3 linked regions of the Macaca mulatta genome follow. The protein of the gene in region 2 interacts with the protein of the main gene of each other region in a pairwise test. Links are inferred from orthologs where the notes say so. Each region holds a gene or a part of one and is shown on either strand. Other genes may lie near its edges.

The links.
Region 1: the proteins of FAM76B (region 2) and uncharacterized protein LOC711182 interact in binary tests that used the Homo sapiens proteins (3 or more experiments, as listed by UniProt). The two-hybrid records come from large-scale screens. The link is inferred for Macaca mulatta from reciprocal best matches to the Homo sapiens genes FAM76B and KRTAP10-11.
Region 3: the proteins of FAM76B (region 2) and GRN interact in binary tests that used the Homo sapiens proteins (3 or more experiments, as listed by UniProt). The link is inferred for Macaca mulatta from reciprocal best matches to the Homo sapiens genes FAM76B and GRN.

What each region holds. Positions count from the first base shown.
Region 1 is NC_133408.1:2,975,407-2,978,632, forward strand, and holds uncharacterized protein LOC711182, read left to right. Parts: upstream 1-1,465; 5' UTR 1,466-1,599; coding exon 1,600-2,217; coding exon of another isoform or gene 2,218-2,355; coding exon 2,356-2,673; 3' UTR 2,674-2,677; downstream 2,678-3,226. UniProt on the Homo sapiens protein: In the hair cortex, hair keratin intermediate filaments are embedded in an interfilamentous matrix, consisting of hair keratin-associated proteins (KRTAP), which are essential for the formation of a rigid and resistant hair shaft through their extensive disulfide bond cross-linking with abundant cysteine residues of hair keratins.
Region 2 is NC_133419.1:96,600,495-96,604,655, forward strand, and holds the start of FAM76B (protein FAM76B), read right to left. Parts: upstream 2,911-4,161; 5' UTR 2,586-2,910; coding exon 2,499-2,585; intron 2,095-2,498; exon of another isoform or gene 1,980-2,094; coding exon of another isoform or gene 1,971-1,979; intron 1,666-1,970; coding exon 1,601-1,665; intron 774-1,600; coding exon 719-773; intron 1-718. Other genes in the region: CEP57 (centrosomal protein of 57 kDa), read left to right, coding at 3,811-3,855. UniProt on the Homo sapiens protein: Negatively regulates the NF-kappa-B-mediated inflammatory pathway by preventing the translocation of HNRNPA2B1 from the nucleus to the cytoplasm.
Region 3 is NC_133421.1:68,721,763-68,726,181, forward strand, and holds the start of GRN (progranulin), read left to right. Parts: upstream 1-1,536; 5' UTR 1,537-1,569; exon of another isoform or gene 1,570-1,841; intron 1,842-1,845; 5' UTR 1,846-1,977; intron 1,978-4,419. UniProt on the Homo sapiens protein: Secreted protein that acts as a key regulator of lysosomal function and as a growth factor involved in inflammation, wound healing and cell proliferation. Regulates protein trafficking to lysosomes, and also the activity of lysosomal enzymes.

The sequences.
Region 1 (3,226 bases), on a different chromosome or scaffold from region 2:
TTTGTAGGTCTCTAAGAACTTGTTTCATGAATCTGGGTGCTTTTGTATTGGGTGCATATATATTTAGGATAATTAGTTCTTCTCATTGAATTGATCCTTTTATCATTATGTAATGCCCTTCTTTGTCTTTTTTGATCTTTGTTGGCTTAAAGTCTGTTTTATCAGAGACTAGAATTGCAACCCCTGCTTATTTTGCTTTCCATTTGCTTGGTAAATTTTCCTCCATTCCTTTATTTTGAGCCTATGTGTGTCTTTGCAAGTGAGATGGGTCTCCTGAATACAGCACACTAGTGGGTCTTGACTCATCCAATTTGCCAGTCTGTGTCAAGCTATTGTTTCTACGAAATAATATATTTCCACTGTAGCCTGACTTTGCCGGGTAGTCCTCCAACAGAGCCCTTAGCCATACCCATCAAAGGTCAGAGGCTTCAAACCCTGCAGCCTGTGGGCCCCACCAAGCACTCAGTGGAGCCCTGGCCTAATTTTGGAGAGACCTGCAGCCTGGGGCATCATCAGAGCCTCTGCTCTGCCATTTCAAAGATTTAGTAAAAATAGTGATCATAGAGTGAGGAGATGAGGGATCCATGATCAGAACTTTGGGGGCTCACTAGGGCACAGGTATGTTCCCAAGCACAGGCATGGGCTGATACACACAGGTGTATAGGTATTTGTGAGACAAGGCTCTGCAATCAGACCCTTTTATTTGTACATTTACTATGACAATGTCCAGGAGACAACAGTAGAACTACTACATTCTGATGACTTTCTGGCCCATAAGGGAAGAGACCTTGGAGCTCCCAAGGACACCATTGCAGGTGATGTTGCCTGAGACGTGAGAGGTGTGAACGCTATTGTTCACACCACTGGGGGAAGGTCCCATAGCAGTTCAACATGAAATGAAACAAAGGTGCTTGCCCCTCATCTCCATCCCTACTGGGCTGGGCCTGCAGCTGCCTCCCTGCTCCTCTCTGTAAGCCCATCTCTGCCCAGGAAGACATTATTCCCTCACACCTGCCCCAGGGCTCACCCCCAGCAGAGATACGCCCCACGGTTCCCACTGACAACCAGCAGTGTCAACCCACAGGGTGGATCTCGCCTTGTGGCCAGGACGACGGAGCATCATCAAACCTGAACACATCTCCCTCTCCTCCAGGCCCAGAAACTGAGGTTCTCCTAACCTCATCCCTCCTTAGGTGCAGAAGTGTTTTATAAGCGCAAACTCCTCCTGGGATGGAGCAGAGGGCTGTCAATTCCAGAATATCGCCTCATTGCCACTGTCCCTGCTTCTGGAGTGCGCTTTGATGCAATCAATAGATTTCTACTGGTTTATCTATGGACAAACCCACATTAGGGAAGACCCAACTCCAGTCAGGAGCCTCACAAACCAGAACATCCACAAACAATGAACCAACACTACTAACACAACAGTGCCTACAACAACAAGGAAAACGAAGGCTTCTCAAAGCCAGCCAGGGGTAGCACAATCAACACAGAGGGGTATAAAGGTTCCAACCACTCAGAACACCTGGCACGACCACTCACTCACTCACTCACTCACTCACTCACATCTCCCCCAGCTCACCTCCTCCGCACCCCAGCATGGCCACATCCACCATGTCCGTCTGCTCCAGCACTTGCTCTGACTCCTGGCAGGTGGACGACTGCCCAGAGAGCTGCTGTGAGCCCCCCTGCTGTGCCCCCAGCTGCTGCGCCCCGGCCCCCTGCCTGACCCTGTTCTGCACCCCAGTGAGCTGTGTGTCCAGCCCCTGCTGCCAGGTGGCCTGTGAGCCCAGCCCCTGCCAATCAGGCTGCACCAGCTCCTGCACACCCTCGTGCTGCCAGCAGTCTAGCTGCCAGCCGGCTTGCTGCACCTCCTCCCCCTGCCAGCAGTCCTGCTGCGTGCCTGTCTGCTGCAAGCCCGTCTGCTGCAAGCCTGTGTGCTGTGTGCCCGTCTGCTGCAAGCCTGTGTGCTGTGTGCCTACCTGCTCTGAGGATTCCTCTTCATGCTGCCAGCAGTCTAGCTGCCAGCCAGCTTGCTGTGCCTCTTCCTCCTGCCAGCAGGCCTGCTGCGTGCCCGCCTGCTGCAAGCCCGTGTGCTGTGTGCCCACCTGCTCTGAGGATTCCTCTTCATGCTGCCAGCAGTCTAGCTGCCAGCCAGCTTGCTGCACCTCCTCCCCGTGTCAGCAGGCCTGCTGTGTGCCCGTCTGCTGCAAGCCTGTCTGCTGCAAGTCTGTCTGCTGTGTGCCCGTCTGCTCTGGGGCTTCTACTTCATGCTGCCAGCAGTCTAGCTGCCAGCCAGCTTGCTGCACCTCCTCTCCGTGTCAGCAGTCCTCCTGTGTGCCTATCTGCTGCAAGCCTGTCTGCTGCAAGTCCGTCTGCTGTGTGCCCGTCTGCTCTGGGGCTTCCACTTCATGCTGCCAGCAATCTAGCTGCCAGCCGGCTTGTTGCACCACCTCCTGCTGCAGACCCTCCTCCTCTGTGTCCCTCCTCTGCCGCCCTGTGTGCAGGCCCGCCTGCTGCGTGCCCATCTCCTCCTGCTGTGCCCCCACCTCCTCCTGCCAGACCAGTTGCTGCCGCCCAGCCTCCTGCGTGTCCCTCCTCTGCCGCCCCGTGTGCTCCCGCCTCTCTTCCGCGTGCTGCGGCCTCTCCTCAGGCCAGAAGTCCAGCTGCTGACGGGCAGGTCCTGTTTCTCCAGAGTTGTTCCAGGGCCATCTCTGACTTCCGAAAATCCTTGCAGCCCTGAGCCCTGTCTGAGTCTCCTCTGCCCAGAGCCACTGTACCTCCAACCGGCAACGCTGAGCCTTCATGCTGAGTTCCCTCCAGGCATGCATCTCTCCCACACCCTCATCTCCATCCTGGCCAGCCGGTGGTCGCTGCGTCCTGCCCCATGTGTGTGATCAGTCTGTCAACGAATAAAGTCACCACTGTGCCCTCTCAGAGGTCTTTTTTGCATGTCTGGCAAGCCCTGGGGGAAGAACTTCGATGTGCTGTGTGGGGCGGGAGCTTCGGGCCTCTGGCCTTGAGCTGCATCCAGGCTGACAGCACCAGGGGCAGAAGCAGTCCTGACTTCCCGCTGTGTGGGGTCTGCTGCTGTGGGGTCCCCTGCCAGCCTCAGCATCTCCAGGCCCCAGGGGTGCCCTTCTCTATGAATGCCCTGCACCCACTGGGCCTGGCCTCTCCCTCCCTCTCTCTCCTTTCTCTGCCTGTCTGACCCCCCACTCACCAT
Region 2 (4,161 bases):
ATTTGTACTAGGATTGGGTCATGATTTCTGTGAAAAAATGTATGAATTGTGCTGTTTTATAAAAATAGTTCTGAAGAGGTCGTTCTGAAGTGGGCTAAAGTCTGATCACGCAAACTTCATGGATAAGCTCTCCATAACCAAGAATTTGCTATATTTGAATCTTTAAAGAATAGCTTCACAAATTTCACACTGATATTCAATACATGTAAAACAGGCATATAATTTGACTGTTTTTAAATGTTGTCACCTTTCCATCAAAATATCTATGGAAGATTTCTTTCATAAAATATGGTATGTTGAAATACATAAGAGCACAGCAGTACATCTTTTTTTTTTTTTTTTTTTTTTGAGACGGGGTCTTGCTCTGTTGCCCAGGCTGGAATGCAGTGGCAGGATCTCGGCTCATTGCAAACTCCGCCTCTCGAGTTCACGCCATTCTCCTGCCTCAACCTCTGGAGTAGCTGGGACTACAGGCGCCCACGACCATGCCCGGCTAATTTTTTTTTTTTTTTTTTTTTTCAGTAGAGACGGGGTTTCACTGTGTTAGCCAGGATGGTCTCGATCTCCTGACCTCGTGATCCGCCTGCCTTGGCCTCCCAAAGTGATAGATTACAGGCGTGAGCCACTGCGCCCGGCCAGCAGTATGTACTTTTTAAAAGGTCCAGCTTTGTGAAAAATATTAACTGGTAACAATGACATGAAAACATGACATACTTACCGTCCCAAATTGCTTCACATTTTGAGCACACTTCTTACAAATTGTGTTAGTTTTGCTGAAAAAGAAATTGTATATATATCATGTTTATGTAGCTTTCTAAAGCAATTAGCACAATGCCAAAATAAAATGAGTCAAAGATTTGTAGTACTTAAAACTTACTCTAATATGGACCACAGATTTTTCTCAAAAACACAAGGATCTTTTCAGAGTTGTTTTACCCAAATTAACTTAAGACAAATATTTTTATACATTTTTATTGTGTATTTCTTTTTGTATACAAAACATCATAATGTTTCCTATATAGCTCCAAAATCTTCACACTTGCCACTATTAATGCACAGCATTACAATACCAGTGCCTACCTAACCTTCCACTTGGCTATTGTCCAACATTATAATGCCCACACCTATTTAAGAAGAAATTATTTGTTCTTTTCTGAGGCTACTTTCTGTATATACTCTCAGAGCAGAAGTAACTGTTAAAAATGTTACGTACTACTCCTCTTCCATGTAACAAATTACTACATTTCACCCTTGGACGGCAGTTGGTAACACTACAGACTTTTCCTCAGGTCCATTAAAGCTTTACCTTTTTTTTTTAGCGTAACAGTAACTGTTTACATTTGCATTTTCATTAGCAAGGCTGTACATTTTCCACGTAGTAATTTATTCTGTCTCATATAAAGTGTAACGGTAAATTAACAACCCCTGGTTTTTTTGGCAACATTCTCTCCCACCATGTATAAAAGGTTTACAACTTAAAATTTCTGGGGCTAAACCATTTTTTAAAAATACTTTCACAAAAATATGGGATTACAACCCCCAAATATTCCATACAGACAACACTTGTCTTTAACAGTCAAAAACTGTTCAGTATACAAACCTCTCTTGTTGAAATTCTGATCTGCAGTAAGTACATTTTACAATAGGATGTGCAATCCGACATTCCTGTAATAAGACAATACATTAGTCGGTATCTATCTGAAAGTCCCAAATGTCACTTTTCTGGTAGAAAATTGTTTACCCAACCTAGTGAAATGTCTAAAATATTGATAAAACCTGGCCCCAACGTAAGGAACTGGATGCTTTATCATATAAGTGGCCAATCACAATATAATTCCTCAGGGAAGGCATAGGTGTCTTTGTCTTTAGTAGACGTGGGGTATATTACAGACAAATTAAGAAAGCTGTCAGGGCCGATTTCAAGGATTGGTTAAATGTGAAACTACTTATTATTTTGCACCGTTGCTCACAGACAGCATCCTGGCTTTAATGGGATGGGAGGAGCTCCAAATCAGAGCATTCTGTTCCCAAACCAGTCGCTTCGCTTTCCTGGACAGGGAAGGAGGATGCCATCAGCTTTGCGGCTTCGGGTTCCTAGCAAGAAAGTGCAAAAATCGTCCCCTGCCTCCTGGTGGAAGAAGAGGACAGACCAGGCAGAAAACCGAGATGAAAACATCTCCACCCCTGGGTCTCTGCGGTATAGACAGGTGGCTGCCTCACTCAACCCCACCTCTGAGACCCCTCAGACGCTGACGGGGTTCGGCACCCGCCCGGGCCTCCTGGAAGAGGGCACGATTCTGCCTCCCTCTCAGGGGCCGTTCCCAGCTGATGTTCAAGCCCCCAGAAAAAGGGGTCCCCGAGTGGGGAGGCGGGGACACCAGACTCCCAAACCCCCGAGGCGCCGGCAAAGAGAGAGGGGCTGCAGTGCAGCGGCTACCCGGCCCCCTCCGGCTACGACCGAGGACATCCATCCCGCCCTCCTCCCGGAGGCCACGGACCTTGCAGAGCTGCTGGCCCTGGGAGAGCTCCTCGAAGGGATAGCGTTGGGTACACTTGGTGCAGGCGTACAGGGCCGAGGCCGCCATCCTGCTCCTCAGTCTCCTCCTCCGCCGCCGCCCGCTCCGAGGCGGGGCCCTACGGAGAACTCGAGACCCGCCGCCGCCGCCCGGGCCGCGGGCTCCTCCTCCTCCCCCTCCCCCTGCCTCGCGCCCACCAGGGCCTCGCCGCCAGAGCCCAGGGCCCCGCGGACGACGCCACCGTCTCCCTCCGCCTCCACTTCCGCCCCAGCCCACCCAGTGACGCCGTGCCAGCCGCTCCCGCTTAGGCCCCGATAGCGGCGGAGGGAGACGAAGCGGGTAGGGGTTGCTGTTTAGCTGCGCGACCGCGGATCCGCTTCCTTCTCGGCCTCCCTTCCCCATCCCTGATTGGCTGCGGAGGCCACGCGTCACTCGGTGGCTCCTCCCAACCTCCAACTTCCGCGACGCCTGGAGCGCCCACAAAGGGAGGATGTCGCCGGCCAATGAGAGCCCGGAGCTCTCAGCGCGCGAAATCCGCTTTGAACCTGCCCCGCCCAAAGGTCTGCGGTCGCGGCTATTTCTAACAGCCAGTCCCAGGTTTGGGTGAGAGCGCCCCAATCCAATTGGGCAAGTGTTCGCGAAAGGCTCGTTCTCTGCCGCAACTTTTTTATCCTTGCTTTCTATTGGACTAAGTCGTTAAGTCCCTCCTAATCCTATTTGTTATTGGCCAAAAGGTAAGTACTTCACCTGGAGAGGCGTCCCCGAGGCAAACTCACGCTCTCTCCTGCGTTTAATCCGAGGGAACTCGTGGAGTGCTTTAACTTCGCCTTCGCTTTTGTTTTATCTCCATTACTCCGTTCGGTTGCCACTGGCGACAACACTACTCGCCCACGCTTCTTACTGGAGGAGGCCCGCCCCACCGTAGAATCCCCGCAGAGCCGGCCAGTAGCCCGCGGCGTTGTAGGCCCCCAGCAGGCCCAGTTACGCGCTACCTTGTGACGTCACCAGGGAAGAGGCGGATTCTCTCCTGCTACTAAAAGACGCCTGCTGTTTTGATTGGCTAGGGAAGACGTCCGTTAGGACGTGTTGCCTTTTCTGTGTACGGTGTGAGCGTAGGCTGCTCTGAGGGGGTGTGTGGCAGGGGTTTCCAAGGCGAGCACCAGCACCGTTGCCCTTTTCCATCAGGGGTTCAGCCCAGGGTCGCCCCTGGTGGGCGGCTCCCGAGTCTTGGAGAAGAGCACGAGAACCCAGACCGCCCCCAAGGTGCGGAGACCCCCCCTGGGCAGGCTGAAAGATGGCGGCGGCGTCTGTCTCTGCGGCTTCTGGTTCCCAGTTGTCGGTAAGCAGCAGTTGGCGCGAGTGGTCCCCACGTCGGTCCCAAGCGCCTCTTTGAGTTTCCTCACTTTCAGGGCTCTGTCAGTCCAGCTTCTGAGTCAATTCCGGAGGACGGCGGGAGTGCCTAGATTGCCCCGCGCTCCCCAAGCTTCCATTCACTGTTCCTCTGTCGAGACTGCACCCTCTGGCTTCCAGTGAAACTGGAACGGAGACTGGCCGTCTCTGTTCCCCATCCTTCATTCACCTTTCGGCGTAGCAACCCCGGTTGCCTAACATTCTCAAGGCCCAACTGGGATAACTGCCCACTCCC
Region 3 (4,419 bases), on a different chromosome or scaffold from region 2:
CACTGCCCTTCCTCCACAGCCCAGTACCAGGTTTTCCCTGGGCCTCTCCTCTCTCCTGGCCCATCTCCCATCACCCATCTCTGCCTGGCCCAGGCCCATTGGCACCGAGCAGCCTGACTCTCGTCACTGGCTAATGTGTTCTGTGGTACATTTTCTCTCCTCACCCTCCCATATCAATTCCTCGAAGGCAGGGCCAGGGGAGACTAGGAAGCCACTTCCCTTTCGACAGCCCCCGCCACAGCCCTGCCTGTGCCAGGCACCTAGCAGCTCCTGAAGCCCACTGGCATTGAACATGGCATTCAATCCCTGCCAAGCCTGCCCTTCCCATCTGGTTTCCCAGGGCTCTTCCCAACACACCTCCTCCACCTGCCAGTTAAAATCTTCCCAAACTCAGCTCAAGGAGATGCTTCTAAGGTGGAATGAAATATCTTCTTCCCCACCTGTAGACAATCTACTTCCTCTCCCCACACCTGGCAACTGGCGCACGACCTTGTATATTAAATTAGATTCAGCCTGAGACTGTCTCCCACCAATCCCTGCCCCCTGTCCTGCTGAGCACCTGGAGGAAAGGGCTTTTGGGCTGTTTATCTTTGTCCTGGAAACCATCCTTCAACTCACTCTGGGCCCTGCCTAGCATGTCATCCGAGTTTGCAGAATAGGGCAGGACAGGACAGGGCAGGATAGGATAGGATAGGAGCGAGTGAGCCCGGTAGCTCACACCTGTAATCCCAGTTCCTCGGGGGCCTGCGGTAGGAGAATCGCTTTGGGAGCAGGAGTTGCAGGCCGCAGTGAGCTATGATCAGCTTGGGCGACCAAGCGAGACCCTTTCTCTAAAACAAACACACAAGGTCGGGTGCGGTGGCTTAGGCCTGTAATCCCAGCGCTTTGGGAGGCCGAGGCGGGCGGATCACGAGGTCAAGAGATCAAGACCATCCTGGCCAACATGGTGAAACCCCGTCTCTACTAAAAATACAAAAATTAGCTGGACTTGGTGGCGCGCGCCTGTAGTCCCAACTACTCGGGAGACTGAGGCAGGAGAATCGCTTGAACCCGGGAGGCAGAGGTTGCAGTGAGCCGAGATCGTGCCACTGCACTCCAGCTTGGCGACAGAGTGAGACTCCATTTCAAAACAAACAAACAAACAAACAAAAGAATAGAAAGAGGAGCACAAATATTCCCAATTCATAACAGTCCCTCGCACTGTCAATGCCCCAGACACGCGCTATCATCTCTAGCAAACTCCCCCAGGCACCTGCAGGATGGGTGAAAGAAGGCGACGAGCACCAGCTGCCCTGCTGAGGCTGGCCCGGCGTCACATGATTCTCCAATCACATGATCCCTAGAAATGGGGTGTGGGGCGAGAGGAAGCGGGGAGGAGAGTGATTTGAGTAGAAAAGAAACACAGCATTCCAGGCTGGCCCCACCTCCACATTGATAAGTAGCCAATGGGAGTGCGGCAGCCCTGATCCCTGGCCAATGGAAACTGAGGTAGGCGGGTCACCGCGCTGGGATCTGTAGTCTGAGCGCTGCCCGGTTGCTGCTGCCCAGGGACCGCGGATCCGGACGCAGGTAGGAGGGCGGCCGCGCAGACCTCTGGCCTGCTCCTGCCCAGGGGCCCGGCCAGGGCCATGTGAGCTTGAGGTTCCCCGGGAGTCTCAGCCGGAGACAAGACAAGAACCGCTTATTGAAACTCCTTGGGGGTTCTGATACACTAGAGGGAGTTTTATGGGAAAGAGGAAGCAGTAACTGCAGTGACCTCTGTTAGAAGGGGGCTTTCTACCTCCCCAGCATTCCCCCAAAGCAGGGACCACACCATTCTTGACTCAGCTCCACCCCTGTCGGTAGGTGCCGGCTTCTTTCCCTCTCGTGGTGGTGGTGGGTGGTTCCCGCGGCGGCCTGAAGCCGGAGGGGCGCGCGACCCTGGGCTGGGAGCTCCGAGGGCCTGGGAACGGGACCTGAAACCTTGGCTTCTCGAAGGTAGTAGGGACTTGGGAGTGGTGACTGAACCTGGTCTGGCTCCTCCTTACTTCCTCTTTTTGGGGGTGGGACGAGCTAACTTCCGCCTCTCCCAGCCACTTTTTCCTGCTCAGTTGCAGCTAGGCTGGCTCCCCTTTTGGGAATTTCTTCTCCCCTTGGCACTCGGAGTTGGGGGCTGCCACCTAGTGGAAGATAACGGAGCTAGGGTCTTGAAGAGGCTGCTGTCCCCTCTGGCTGTTTTGGCGGTGTAGGGTGGCGTGAGAGACTGCGACTCGCCTCCTCATCCCTGTTTCTGTATGCGTGTGCATGTATTCAGTAGAAGCATACACTATACTCCCTCAACTCAGGGTAAACAGGAGGGGCCATGCACAGGTAACTCACCAGAGAGCTGAACACTCCTGTGCAGACAGACTCCCCTTCCCAGCAAGCCAGGGCAGCGGACAGCCTGCTGAGAACACGCAGGAAGTAGGCAGTGCCAGCTGCAGGTGTTTTGCCTGGGAGCTGTGGGGCTGAGGAGAGGGTCCACTGTCCAGGACCAGTCAACTGCATCCTTATCTGTCCAGGAGGTGGCCTCTTCGGGATGCTGAGTTAGGGGAGGGGCACTTGAGGAAAGCCAATTGGAGCAGAGAGGATGTGAGTGACTGAGTGGGTGACATTTCCTGCCCTTCCCCCCTCCAATGGTATCCACACATAGACTCGTGGGGGAACTGAGGCACAGACAGGGAGCAACTTCTCAGGCCCTCACAGTTGGCAATTCCAGGATTAGGACTCAAGTGCGATTTCCAGGCAGTCCCTGTTTCTGTCGTACCTGTTGCACCTATCCCCCTGGGGCGTAGGGGTCCATTCTCAGGCACTGCCCATTGTGCCACTAGTGATATTAACCCAGGTCCAATACGCTCTGGGGCCATCAAAGCCTGTCGTCACCATGACCTGATGTGTGACATGTTATCGGTGTCCCTTGGTATCTTCATGGAACTGGTTCCAGGACCCCAAAGTCTGTGGGTGCTCAAGTCCCTGATACAAAATGGTGTGATATTTGCATATAACCTATACATACTTTAAATCATTTCTAGATTACTTATGCCTAATACAATGGAAATGCCATGTTGGCTGGGCACGGTGGCTCATGCCTGTAATCCCCACACTTTGGGAGACTGTGGTGGGTGGATCACCTGAGGTCAGGAGTTCGAGACTGGCAGCCTGGCCAACATGGTGAAACCCCTATCTCTACTAAAAATACAAAAATTAGCCAGGTGTGGTAGCAGACTCAGGAGGCTGCTCAGGAAGCTGAGGCAGGAGAATTGCTTGAACCCGGGAGGCAGAGGTTGCAGTGAGCTGAGATTGCGCCACGGTACTACAGCCTGGGCGTCAGAGCAAGACTCCGTCTCAAAAAAAAAAAGAAAAAAAAAAAAGAAAAGAAAAAGAGTGCAGCACACCAACATGGCACAAGTATACATATATAACAAACCTGCACGTTATGCACATGTACCCTACAACTTAAAGTATAACAATAATAAATAAATTAAAAAAAAAAAAAGAAATGCCATGTAAATAGTTGTGATCCTGAATTGTTTAGGGAATAATAAGAAAGAACAATCTGTACATGTTCAGTATAGATGCACCCATCCTAAGCCTAACTACATAGTATACCTCAGCAACAATGTAACATTTTCTGGGGTTTTTGTTTTGTTTTGTGAGACGGAATCTCAGTCTCGCTCTATCACCCAGGCTGGAGTATGGTGGCACGATCTCCTCCACTCACTGCAACCCCCACCTCCTGGGCTCAAGCGTTTTCCTGCCTCAGCCTCTTGAGTAGCTGGGATTACAGGTGTGCACTACCACGCATGGCTAATTTTTGTATTTTTAGTAGAGATGGGGGTTTCACCATGTTGGTCAGGCTGGTCTCGAACTCCTGACCTCGTGATCCGCCCACTTAGGCCTCCCAAAGTGCTGGGATTAGAGGTGTGAGCCACCACACCCAATATTTTTTGATCTCTGGTTGGATACGGAGGGCTGACTGTACTTAACATCTCTGAGCTTCAGTTTCTTCCTTTGAAAGTAAAGGTGGCTGGGCGTGGTGGCTCACGCCTGTAATCCCAGCACTCTGGGAGGCCGAGGTGGGTGGATCACGAGGTCAGGAGATCGAGACCATCCTGGCTAACACAGTGAAACCCCGTCTCTACTAAAATACAAAAAATTAGCCAAGCGTGCTGGCAGGCGCCTGTAGTCTCAGCTACTCAGGAGGCTGAGGCAGGAGAATGGCGTGAACCCAGGAGGTGGAGCTTGCAGTGAGCTGAGATAGCACCACTGCACTCCAGCCTGGGAGACAGGGAGAGTCCGTCTCAAACAAACAAACAAAAAAGTAAAGGTGAGGCCAGGTGTGGTGACTCAAGCCTGTAATCCCAGCACTTAGGGAGGCTGAGGCGGGTGGATCACCTGAGG